2 linked regions of the Rattus norvegicus genome follow. The protein of the gene in region 1 interacts with the protein of each later gene in a pairwise test. Links are inferred from orthologs where the notes say so. Each region holds a gene or a part of one and is shown in the gene's direction. Other genes may lie near its edges. The genes, in order: Rin1 and Rras2.

Region 1 (4,557 bases):
TTTATCCTGGTCTGTGGGGGGCAGTATCAACAAGCTATAATGGACTCTAAGGGACCCTTTCTTCTCTCCACCCAGGCCAGGGCAGCAGTGTCCCCTCAGAAGAGAAAAGCAGATGGTAAGAACCGCAGACACAGGCTTGTCAGAATTGGTAGCCTGATCTGACTTTGAGGGTTTTGTGGGAGTTTGAGGAATAGAATCCAGGTTGGAGAAGCTCTTGGCTGAGGGAGCAAGAACATGGAGAGGTGGAGGTGTAGCTCAGTGGTAGTGCTCTCGCCTAGCATGGGCAGGAACCCAGTCCCAGGCTGCACACCACAAGAAGGTAAAAGTGCCTGGAGCCCCCAGGCAGGGTGGAGCAGAGAGAGCAGTAAGAAGAGACCCTTATGGATGAAGGGAGTAAGGCACTTCCCTCAGTGCCTTCAGGAAGTGGTGGTTGTCATTTTCTTTCAACGTCCTTCTACCCTTCTAGGACCCTGACCCTGCATTTACACTCGGAGGGTCCTTGGGGCAGCTGGCACCGCACACAGGATTAACGTTTCTCTGCAAAGGCAGGGGGTTACTTACTGCTGGACTCCTCTGCTCTCCTTGGGATCTGTATAACCAACCGGCCCTGACGCTGACCTGGCCAAGCAAGACCGTTGTCTCCATCCCTGAGCAGCCCACCCCTCCCCAAAGAGTAACTTCTCAGTGTCCCCCACAAGAAGACAGGCCTCATCCAGAGTCAAAGCAGCAACCCTCCTGACTAAACCCTGGTCCTTGGCCACTGAGTCATGAGCCAGGCCCCGCTGCAGGAGGGACTCCTGCCAGAGACATGTTGGGTCTTGCCCATCCTAACTGCCACTGGGGAGTTGGCTTCCCAGGCTTTCTCAGGGCCATTCCTGGTGTCTGCCTCTCAGATCCCAAGGACTGGAATAAAATTGGACCTGGATATGACTGCTGTGTGGTTGTTGTATCTTACAAGGGAATCAAGGCTTTTGTGGGGAGCACCTAAGACAGACTTCTGGGGTCCCTACAGTTTGAGACATTAGTTCTTAGAGAAAAGCCTGAGGAAGGAAGTTGGGACCAGGGCAGGCAAACAGTCGAAGCACGTGGCCTCGGGTGGGGAAGGGGCTTCTGCACATTTCTGGAGGTCAGGTCATGTCTGCACCTGCCCCAAACACTTGGCAAATTGGCAAGGCGGGCTAGCTAGCAGGGTCTGTGTGTGGGAGACAGCTAGCAGCAGCACCATGTGCTGTCGACCTCACAGCCACACGCCCCCTCTGCTTAGCAGTGAGTGTCAGAACCACCCCCAGAACCTCAGTTAAGCAAAGAGCTTAGTTTCCATGGAGACACAGCATCCTTTCTCCATAGCAACCTGAAATCACAAAACCCAAGTTAGATTCAGGAATGAGTCATCTGCAACCAGTAGGGGGTGCTCTCCCACAAGGCTGACCCCGCCTTCAAGGCTGGAACAGATGAGCCAGTGACCACAGACTTCTTAAGGTGACCCAGGGGTGCGGCTTGGGCCTGTGGGAACTTGGTTGGCCGTGTTTAACCCCTCCCTATCCCACTGCATAGTGTGAGGAGGCTACAGGAAGTGCTGTGTGGAGGTGCTCCTCCCACAGCGGGGGCCCTGATAGACTCTAGTGTGGAAGCCTCTGCCATTCAAGACTGGGCCAAGAGCAAAAGAAGTGGACACTGGCTACATGGAGTGGACATACAAGAGTTAACTGGCGGGGTGTGACCGGGCGAACCGCCTTCAGGAAGTGTTACTCACCGCCAGGAATGTGCACGCCTGTGCCTTGGGGGTTGGATTCTCTTCCTGAGTCCCAGGAGAAGCTGAAGGAGCTCCCAGCCATGGAAGACCCTGGTGAGACCGAAGCACACCCTCTGGGAGCCACCAGCCTGAACTTTGTACCTGGGTACCAACAGGAAGAAAAGTTAGTAAAGTCGGGAGATCAGCCAGGTGCAGGGGGTGAGGGCAGTTATAGGAAGATCTGGCAAGGACAGGAGAGATGGGAAGCCCCAAATGGGAAGAGGTGTTCACCCAAGACCCCTACTCAAGTCTGGGTGTCTGCCCCCAGGCCATCTCCAGACCCACTGTATGACACACCTGATGCCAGAGGGGTTCAGGCAGGCGGGTCCCAACAACCAGCACGCACAGTGAGCTTGCGGGAGCGGCTGCTGATCACCCGGCCTGTGTGGTTACAGCTGCGGGCCAACGCTGCAGCCGCACTGCACGTGCTGAGGACAGAGCCTCCGGGGGTGAGTCTCTCCCGTTCCTAAAGGTCTAGCCGGACAAGACTGGGAGGGAAAGGGCCTGGACGTGGAGATCCTGAGCCTCCTAATCTTGATCACTCGCAGACCTTCCTGGTGCGGAAATCTAACACTCGCCAGTGCCAGACTCTATGTGTGCGGCTGCCAGAAGCTAGTGGCCCCTCTTTTGTCTCCAGCCACTATCTCCAAGAGAGTCCTGGCGGTGAGGAGGGTGGCCTAGAGGGAAGGGGCTGGAAGACAGGCAGGGGAGGGAGGTTCCCAGAGAACGGCCTCACTCCCAATGTCTCTCAGGCATCTCTTTGGAGGGCTCAGAGCTCACATTCCCGGACCTGGTCCAGCTCATCTGTGCATACTGTCATACCAGGTGAGCCTGCCAGCAGGGCACCTGGTGACCCCTGGGCCTGCCTCCAGGGACTGCCCACCCTCTGCATCTGAGCACCACTCTCTCTTGACTGCACTTTGCTCTGACCTTAGGGACATTCTTCTCCTCCCTCTCCGACTCCCCAGAGCCATTCATCAGGCAGCCACCCACAAAGAGCTGGAGGCCATCTCCCATCTGGGCATGGGTAAGGGTCCCCTGCAGCCTGTTACACAGATGGACACATAGAAGCCAAATGGGGGGAAGAAAGAACAACCAAGATTTTTCTTTGTGGGTACTCTCCAGAGCCAGCTCTGAGGTCCCCATTGGTTTCTGATTGCTAGAGTTCTGGAGTTCCTCTCTCAACACCAAGAACCAACAGAGACCTTCAGAAGCTCCGCAGATACCCCGGCTGAAGGCTCGCTCCCCTCAAGAGCTGGATCAGGGCACTGGTGCAGCCCTCTGCTTCTTCAACCCCCTCTTCCCCGGGGATCTGGGCCCCACCAAACGTGAGAAATTCAAGAGGAGTTTCAAAGTGCGTGTATCCACAGAGACCTCCAGCCCTCTGTCTCCACCTGCTGTGCCGCCTCCTCCAGTCCCCGTTCTGCCAGGGACATCTTCCAGCCAAACGGAAAGACTGCCCCCTCGACAGCTGCTGCAGAGGGAGAGCTCAGTGGGATACCGTGTGCCAGGAAGTGCTTCTGGTCCTAGTCTTCCTCCCCTACCTTCACTTCAGGAGGTGGACTGCTGCTCCCCCAGCAGCTCAGAGGAGGAGGGTTCTTCAGGAAGCCCTACAACCTCCCCACGCCTAAGCCGCCCAAGGCACCGGCGGCCTCTGCTTCGGTCCATGAGTTCTGCTTTCTGCTCTCTGCTGGCACCAGAGAGGCAGGTGGGCCGGGCAGCTACAATGCTAATGCACAACCGATACACAGCTGTGGGTCAGCTAGTGCAGGACCTATTGACCCAGGTTCGTGTTGGTCCTGAGTCCCGGGAGTTGCAGGGCATCCGACAGGCCCTGAGTCGGGCACGGGCCATGCTGAGTGCAGAGCTGGGCCCTGAGAAACTGCTACCACCAGAGCGGCTGGGTAAGGCCGAGCCCTGGCCTGCACCGGTTCATGTCCCTGGCTCTCCATCCTCCCCTGTCTCCCTCTCTCCTTGACTTTGGTACCTAATGACTGCTGCTTACCCTGCACCCCACCCCCACCCCTTCTCACTACTGGTGCAGGGAATTCCATCTTCTCCTCCTCACCCTTCTCCCTATCTCCTGTCTTGGCGAGGGACTCCTGCTTTTCCAGGCTTCTTTCCCCTGACAGCAACAACTCTCTTCTTGCAGAATTGGTCCTGGAGAAATCCCTGCATCGCTCTGTTCTCAAGCCTCTTCGACCCATTCTAGCTGCCCGCCTGCGGCGCCGACTTTCCACAGACGGTTCCCTTGGCCGCCTAGCTGAGGGCTTCCGCCTGGCCCGGACCCAGGGGCCTGGAGCCTTCGGGTCCCACCTGAACCTTTCTTCCCCAGTGGAGATAGAACCAGTGCGTCAGAAGCTGCTGCAGCTCCTTCGTGCCTACTCGCCTAGTGCCCAGATCAAGTGGCTCCTGCAGGCCTGCAAGTTGCTATACACAGCCCTGAAAACCCAGGCAGGTATGACCCCCTTACCCCAACCACTTCCCCCAGCTCCACTCTTTCAAAGTAGAGGCTGTGCACTACCCACTTCCACAGCAAGCCGGTTCCAGAACCCCAGAGCTGCAAGCAGCATAGAAGGATCCAATCCTCTATTCCAGGAACTCTAGAGAACATTGTCTTTCTTCCCTGTAACTTTCCCTGAGGTTGCTATGTTGGTCCTGGTCTGTTACCTAGTTACCTAGGGATCTAGCAGGCGGAGGGGAGGGGTCACTGTCTAGTGTGGCGATTGGGCCTCTGAGGAGGCTGGAACTTCTTCCCATGTCTC
Region 2 (4,278 bases), about 34 Mb from region 1:
GTGTGTCTGGGTGGGGTGTATGCATGGCAATGAAGGCATATGTGTGGAGGGCAGAGAACAAGTGTTGGGAGCTGCCTTTCTCCCTCCCTGTGGATCCCAGAGATCAGGTCGTTAGGCGTGTGCGTGCTGTTGTTCTCTGAGCCATCCACTGGCCCAGGGCCCTTATTTGAGGGAAGAGGAAGTGGAGGCACAGAGTTTAAGTTCCCATCATCATGCCATTAGCAAAGCAGGCAGGATTTGAACCAGTCTACCCTCTGAGACCACAACCTCAATCTTACCCTGCCTCTACAGAGAGATATCCCTACCACATTCAACTAACACACAATGCGTTCTATTTATATCTGCTAGCGTGTAAGCTCCCCTCAGCACATTCAAAACCACACAACAGAATGTGTCCCTTTGTCATCTCTGGCTTCTGCATAGCCCCTCATATCTGGTTTTCTTTTCTCTCTTTCATTCTTCCTTTCTTTTCAGCCCAGACCTCCCTGTGTGTGTAGCCCTGGCCTGGAACTCATTATGTAGATCAGGCTGGCCTCGAACTCTTTGAGCTCACAGAGATCTACCTGCTCCTGCTTCTAGAATACTGGGGCTAAAGGCATGCACTACCATGTATAGCTTAGCTTGGTTTTCTTTCCCTGGAATACTTTTCTTCCAATCACTTATCTGTTTACAAGATTATTCCTTCGGTCTTTTGGAAAACCCTCTCTGACTGGCCAGCTCCGGGGTAAGTGCACCTTGGACCTCAGTGCTGAGCAGCTGTTGTCCTTATCATTATGTCTCACAAGGTGCCTATTGTCCTGGCTGCCTCCTCCTCTGGACTCTAAGGGCAAGGGCTTGATCGTGTGTGTAGAAGCTGTGTTAGCAACGAAACACTCTCCTGGTAGGAAACATGTCACTAACCTGCCAATTTCTCACGACCCTCAGACTCAATTACCTCACAGTTTTTCCACACATAGACATACAAACAGATGCTGCACCCCACATCTGTCCACATGCACTGTAGCCCCATGCAAACTCAATCACTATCCACCTAACTCTCGCACTGCCACTAGCCTATGATACATTCAGGTAATGCTACAGGTCTCATTTCCTCAATGGCTGCTTTATACTTTCTTTCTTTTTTTTTTTTTTTTTAAATACAGTCACCATCTGCATTCCGAAAACAGGGTACAGAGTTGAGTGAATATGACAACAGTTCTATTTTTCATTCACGCCGTCACAGGCTGTTTCTTTCATGAACACGATCCCTGACTTATGCAGTTACTGTCACCGCCGTCCATTTTCCCGTTGTCTTCCTCCCGGAGCTCTAAGGGCAGGTCTGCAGGGTCTGCTGCCTAGGGCGCTCCAGAGTCTCCGCCTGGGCGGGCGAGGCCTAGCCCCGCCCCCTCATGCATATGTAGTACCCCAGCCCGGCGGCCCGGCCCCCAGACGGCCATTTGTAGCGGTGCTAGAGGCTGCGTTCGGCTGCGCTGCAGAGCCGCGAAGAGGATCGCGCTCCCTGGCCGCTGCGTCCTCTGCCCTGGAGCCTTCTCGGCTCTCCTGCGTCTCGGGCAACTCCCAACCAGTCCCGGGGATAGCGCTCCGCGGCCCTCCAGGCCACTCGCGGGCCCCGCGCGCTCTACCGCCTGTAACCCAGCCGGCCGCACTCGTCCCCGGAGCCGGGCCTAGGGCGCGCGGCGGCCGGGCTGGGCTCGGGGCGTCCCGATGGCCGCGGCCGGCTGGCGCGACGGCTCCGGCCAGGAGAAGTACCGGCTCGTGGTGGTCGGCGGTGGCGGCGTGGGCAAGTCGGCGCTCACCATCCAGTTCATCCAGGTGCTTGGAGACGGCCTGCGGGGTGGCGGCGGCGGGGTGGCGCTACCTGTGGCCGCGGCGACCCCGCCCGGGGCGCGCGGGTGCGGGGCTCCGGCGCGTGCGGTGCGCGCGGGTGCGGTTTGCGCGGGGCCAGGGCGCGCGGCTGCGAGGGCAAGAATAGTGTGGAGTAGGCGCTGCGCTCCTGCCCTGCGGCCACGGCGCCGCGCTGCTGCCCGCCAGGCGCCCGGCGCGGCGTCCGAGGACTCCGGCTTCTCAGGAATGTGGCCCAGAGGGCGGAGCTGGCCGGGTGGGAAGCGCAGTTCCACCTTATCGCTGCGGTCAGGGCGGGAGCCGGCGGGTTGCAGCCGCGCCGCGGTGCCGGGTTTCCTGCCCCGAGGGCCGGAGTGGGGACCTCGCGCTTGCCTTGGTGGCAGCGATGGCCCGGACTACTTGGAGGCTTCGCACCACCGGCTCCCAATAGTGTTTTCTCTTTGTGTGTGTTTGAGCTTCTCTTACTAGTAGTCTGTTAGGTGGTATGTCCGGGTGGGAGTGTTTGATCGTGCCCTAGGGAAATAATGGCTTCGAGGAAGTTAAAAATGTGCTTTGATAGGGGCGAGACCATTTCCTTGGAATTCCCGGTGCCTGCCTGCTTCGCGCTTAGGTGAAGTTTGGGATGAGCCCCACTAGGAGGGGACGAATATGAGTTTTGTATTGCAGCCCCCACCCCCACCCCCTCCCGGTTGCTGGAGGAGGAAAGTCGGGTTGTGTCAAAGAAAAGGGAGGTAAAATGTCTTTAGACTTTATTCTTGGTTAAGACGCCCGATTGATTTTTCTTTCTCTTTTCTTTTTGATTTTTAAAAAGCAAAGGCAGCTCTCCTTGCTTTTGTCACCCTGAAAGGCGTGGCATATGTTGGAGAGAGCGCAGGTACCCTAAGTAACAAAGGTATTTTTTTACTGTATTAAAGGGGACGGGTGGCGAAGTGGTTTTTGTTTGTTTCACCCATTTGTTGAATGGATAGACTTAAAATAGCTTATTTTGTTTCGCTATAACTGTGGTGTTTATAGTGTTAAGACGCACAGTTCCATAACCTAACTGATAGTCAGTTTCACACCAAGTGAATGAACAGTAATTGCTCCTGTAATATTTCATGGAATAAAAAAGTGCTGCTCAACCTTTGTATTCGGAGAGGATGTTCATGTCATGAGCGTTGACAGCATGTTCGGTGGTGGTGGTGGTGGTGGTGGTGGCTGCGGTGGTGGGGGTGTGGGTTTAAGTTTACCAGACTTCAGCCTGGCTTTTGGCAGTTGTTATTTGCTTGGGGCCAAAAGAGACTTTTAAGTGGCTGACAGCAAAACAAGTCACAGATAACTCTCCCTGATGGCTGGTTTTGGAGGGAACCAAGAAGACAGAGGACAGTCCTGGGTTCCAGAACTGGTGGATAATATTTGTTTAGGAGATTTAAATCAGAAACATTTAAGTTTTTGAAGGAAGATCATCCAAACATGATTGCTTCCATCAGGTAAGGTATTTGAGAAATAGTTTTAAAAATCCTTACACTCCCAGCAATGACTGTCTTCCTCAAGACCTTCTAGAATTCATTTGTTGAATACTTTGTGAGTAGTCTGGTATCTAGAGGCTCTAAAATGAGGTCAAGTAAAGACATGCGTGGCAATGATTTATACCGATAAGGACTTTTGAATCCTACAGACTTGAACTGTGCCTTTTGTTTATTGGCTATGAAAACAACCACCCAAATAGCCTTTCTGAACCTCCAATTTTCTTGTTAGTGAAATAGCTCTCAGTACATGTCCTTTATAACTTTTACATTATGAGAAAGATTTTAGCGTTGCGTTGAGCCTGTGTGCTGTGTTGATAATGTAGTCACTTCAGTATGTGTGTGAGATGAGACCTTTAGATGGAAAGGGAATTCTGATTTGAAGGAGTCAGTGTGGGAAGGCTCTAAACAAGCTCTGTGGGGCTGGCAGGTGTAGCGCAGCGTAGAGTGGTTTGCCTGCTGTGTGGGAAGCTCTGCATTGGAGCCCTAGTACCAAAAAAGAGCACTGTGTCTTATGGGGGTTGTGTGAACGTGGGGAGTCACAGGCCAGATTGGAAAGAGGAGGCCAGTGTGTGGGGAGCTGGGAGTAGGAGAGGCGTGTGTGACTTGGGGTTTTGGGGCTGGTGAAACAGGAACATAGCTCTGGGGTTGACTTGGTGAGGAGGAAGGAGGCACAGCACCTGTGTGGAGCCCATTCCCCTGAGCATGATGTTGGGTAAGTTACTGAACCTGTCTGTGCTATGGCTTTTAGTCATCTGGAAGCTAGGATAATATAGTTATACAGCTGTGGACATCAAATGGATTAGCCTCAAGGTCTTGGGACAAAGGTGTGGGTCTACAAAGGCCACCTCCATTACTCTGGTAATCTTAGATTATGTAACTAAAGCCACAGTCTATCAGCTACATCTGCACGCATATATAAACATTCAAC

The links.
Region 2: the proteins of Rin1 (region 1) and Rras2 interact in binary tests that used the Homo sapiens proteins (3 or more experiments, as listed by UniProt). The link is inferred for Rattus norvegicus from reciprocal best matches to the Homo sapiens genes RIN1 and RRAS2.

The regions. Positions count from the first base shown.
Region 1 is NC_086019.1:211,783,482-211,788,038, forward strand, and holds the start of Rin1 (ras and Rab interactor 1), read left to right. Parts: upstream 1-1,625; 5' UTR 1,626-1,761; coding exon 1,762-1,916; intron 1,917-2,060; coding exon 2,061-2,241; intron 2,242-2,340; coding exon 2,341-2,455; intron 2,456-2,544; coding exon 2,545-2,617; intron 2,618-2,727; coding exon 2,728-2,819; intron 2,820-2,955; coding exon 2,956-3,696; intron 3,697-3,944; coding exon 3,945-4,250; intron 4,251-4,557. UniProt on the Homo sapiens protein: Ras effector protein, which may serve as an inhibitory modulator of neuronal plasticity in aversive memory formation. Can affect Ras signaling at different levels. First, by competing with RAF1 protein for binding to activated Ras.
Region 2 is NC_086019.1:177,734,715-177,738,992, reverse strand, and holds the start of Rras2 (ras-related protein R-Ras2), read left to right. Parts: upstream 1-1,441; 5' UTR 1,442-1,704; coding exon 1,705-1,812; intron 1,813-4,278. UniProt on the Homo sapiens protein: GTP-binding protein with GTPase activity, involved in the regulation of MAPK signaling pathway and thereby controlling multiple cellular processes. Regulates craniofacial development.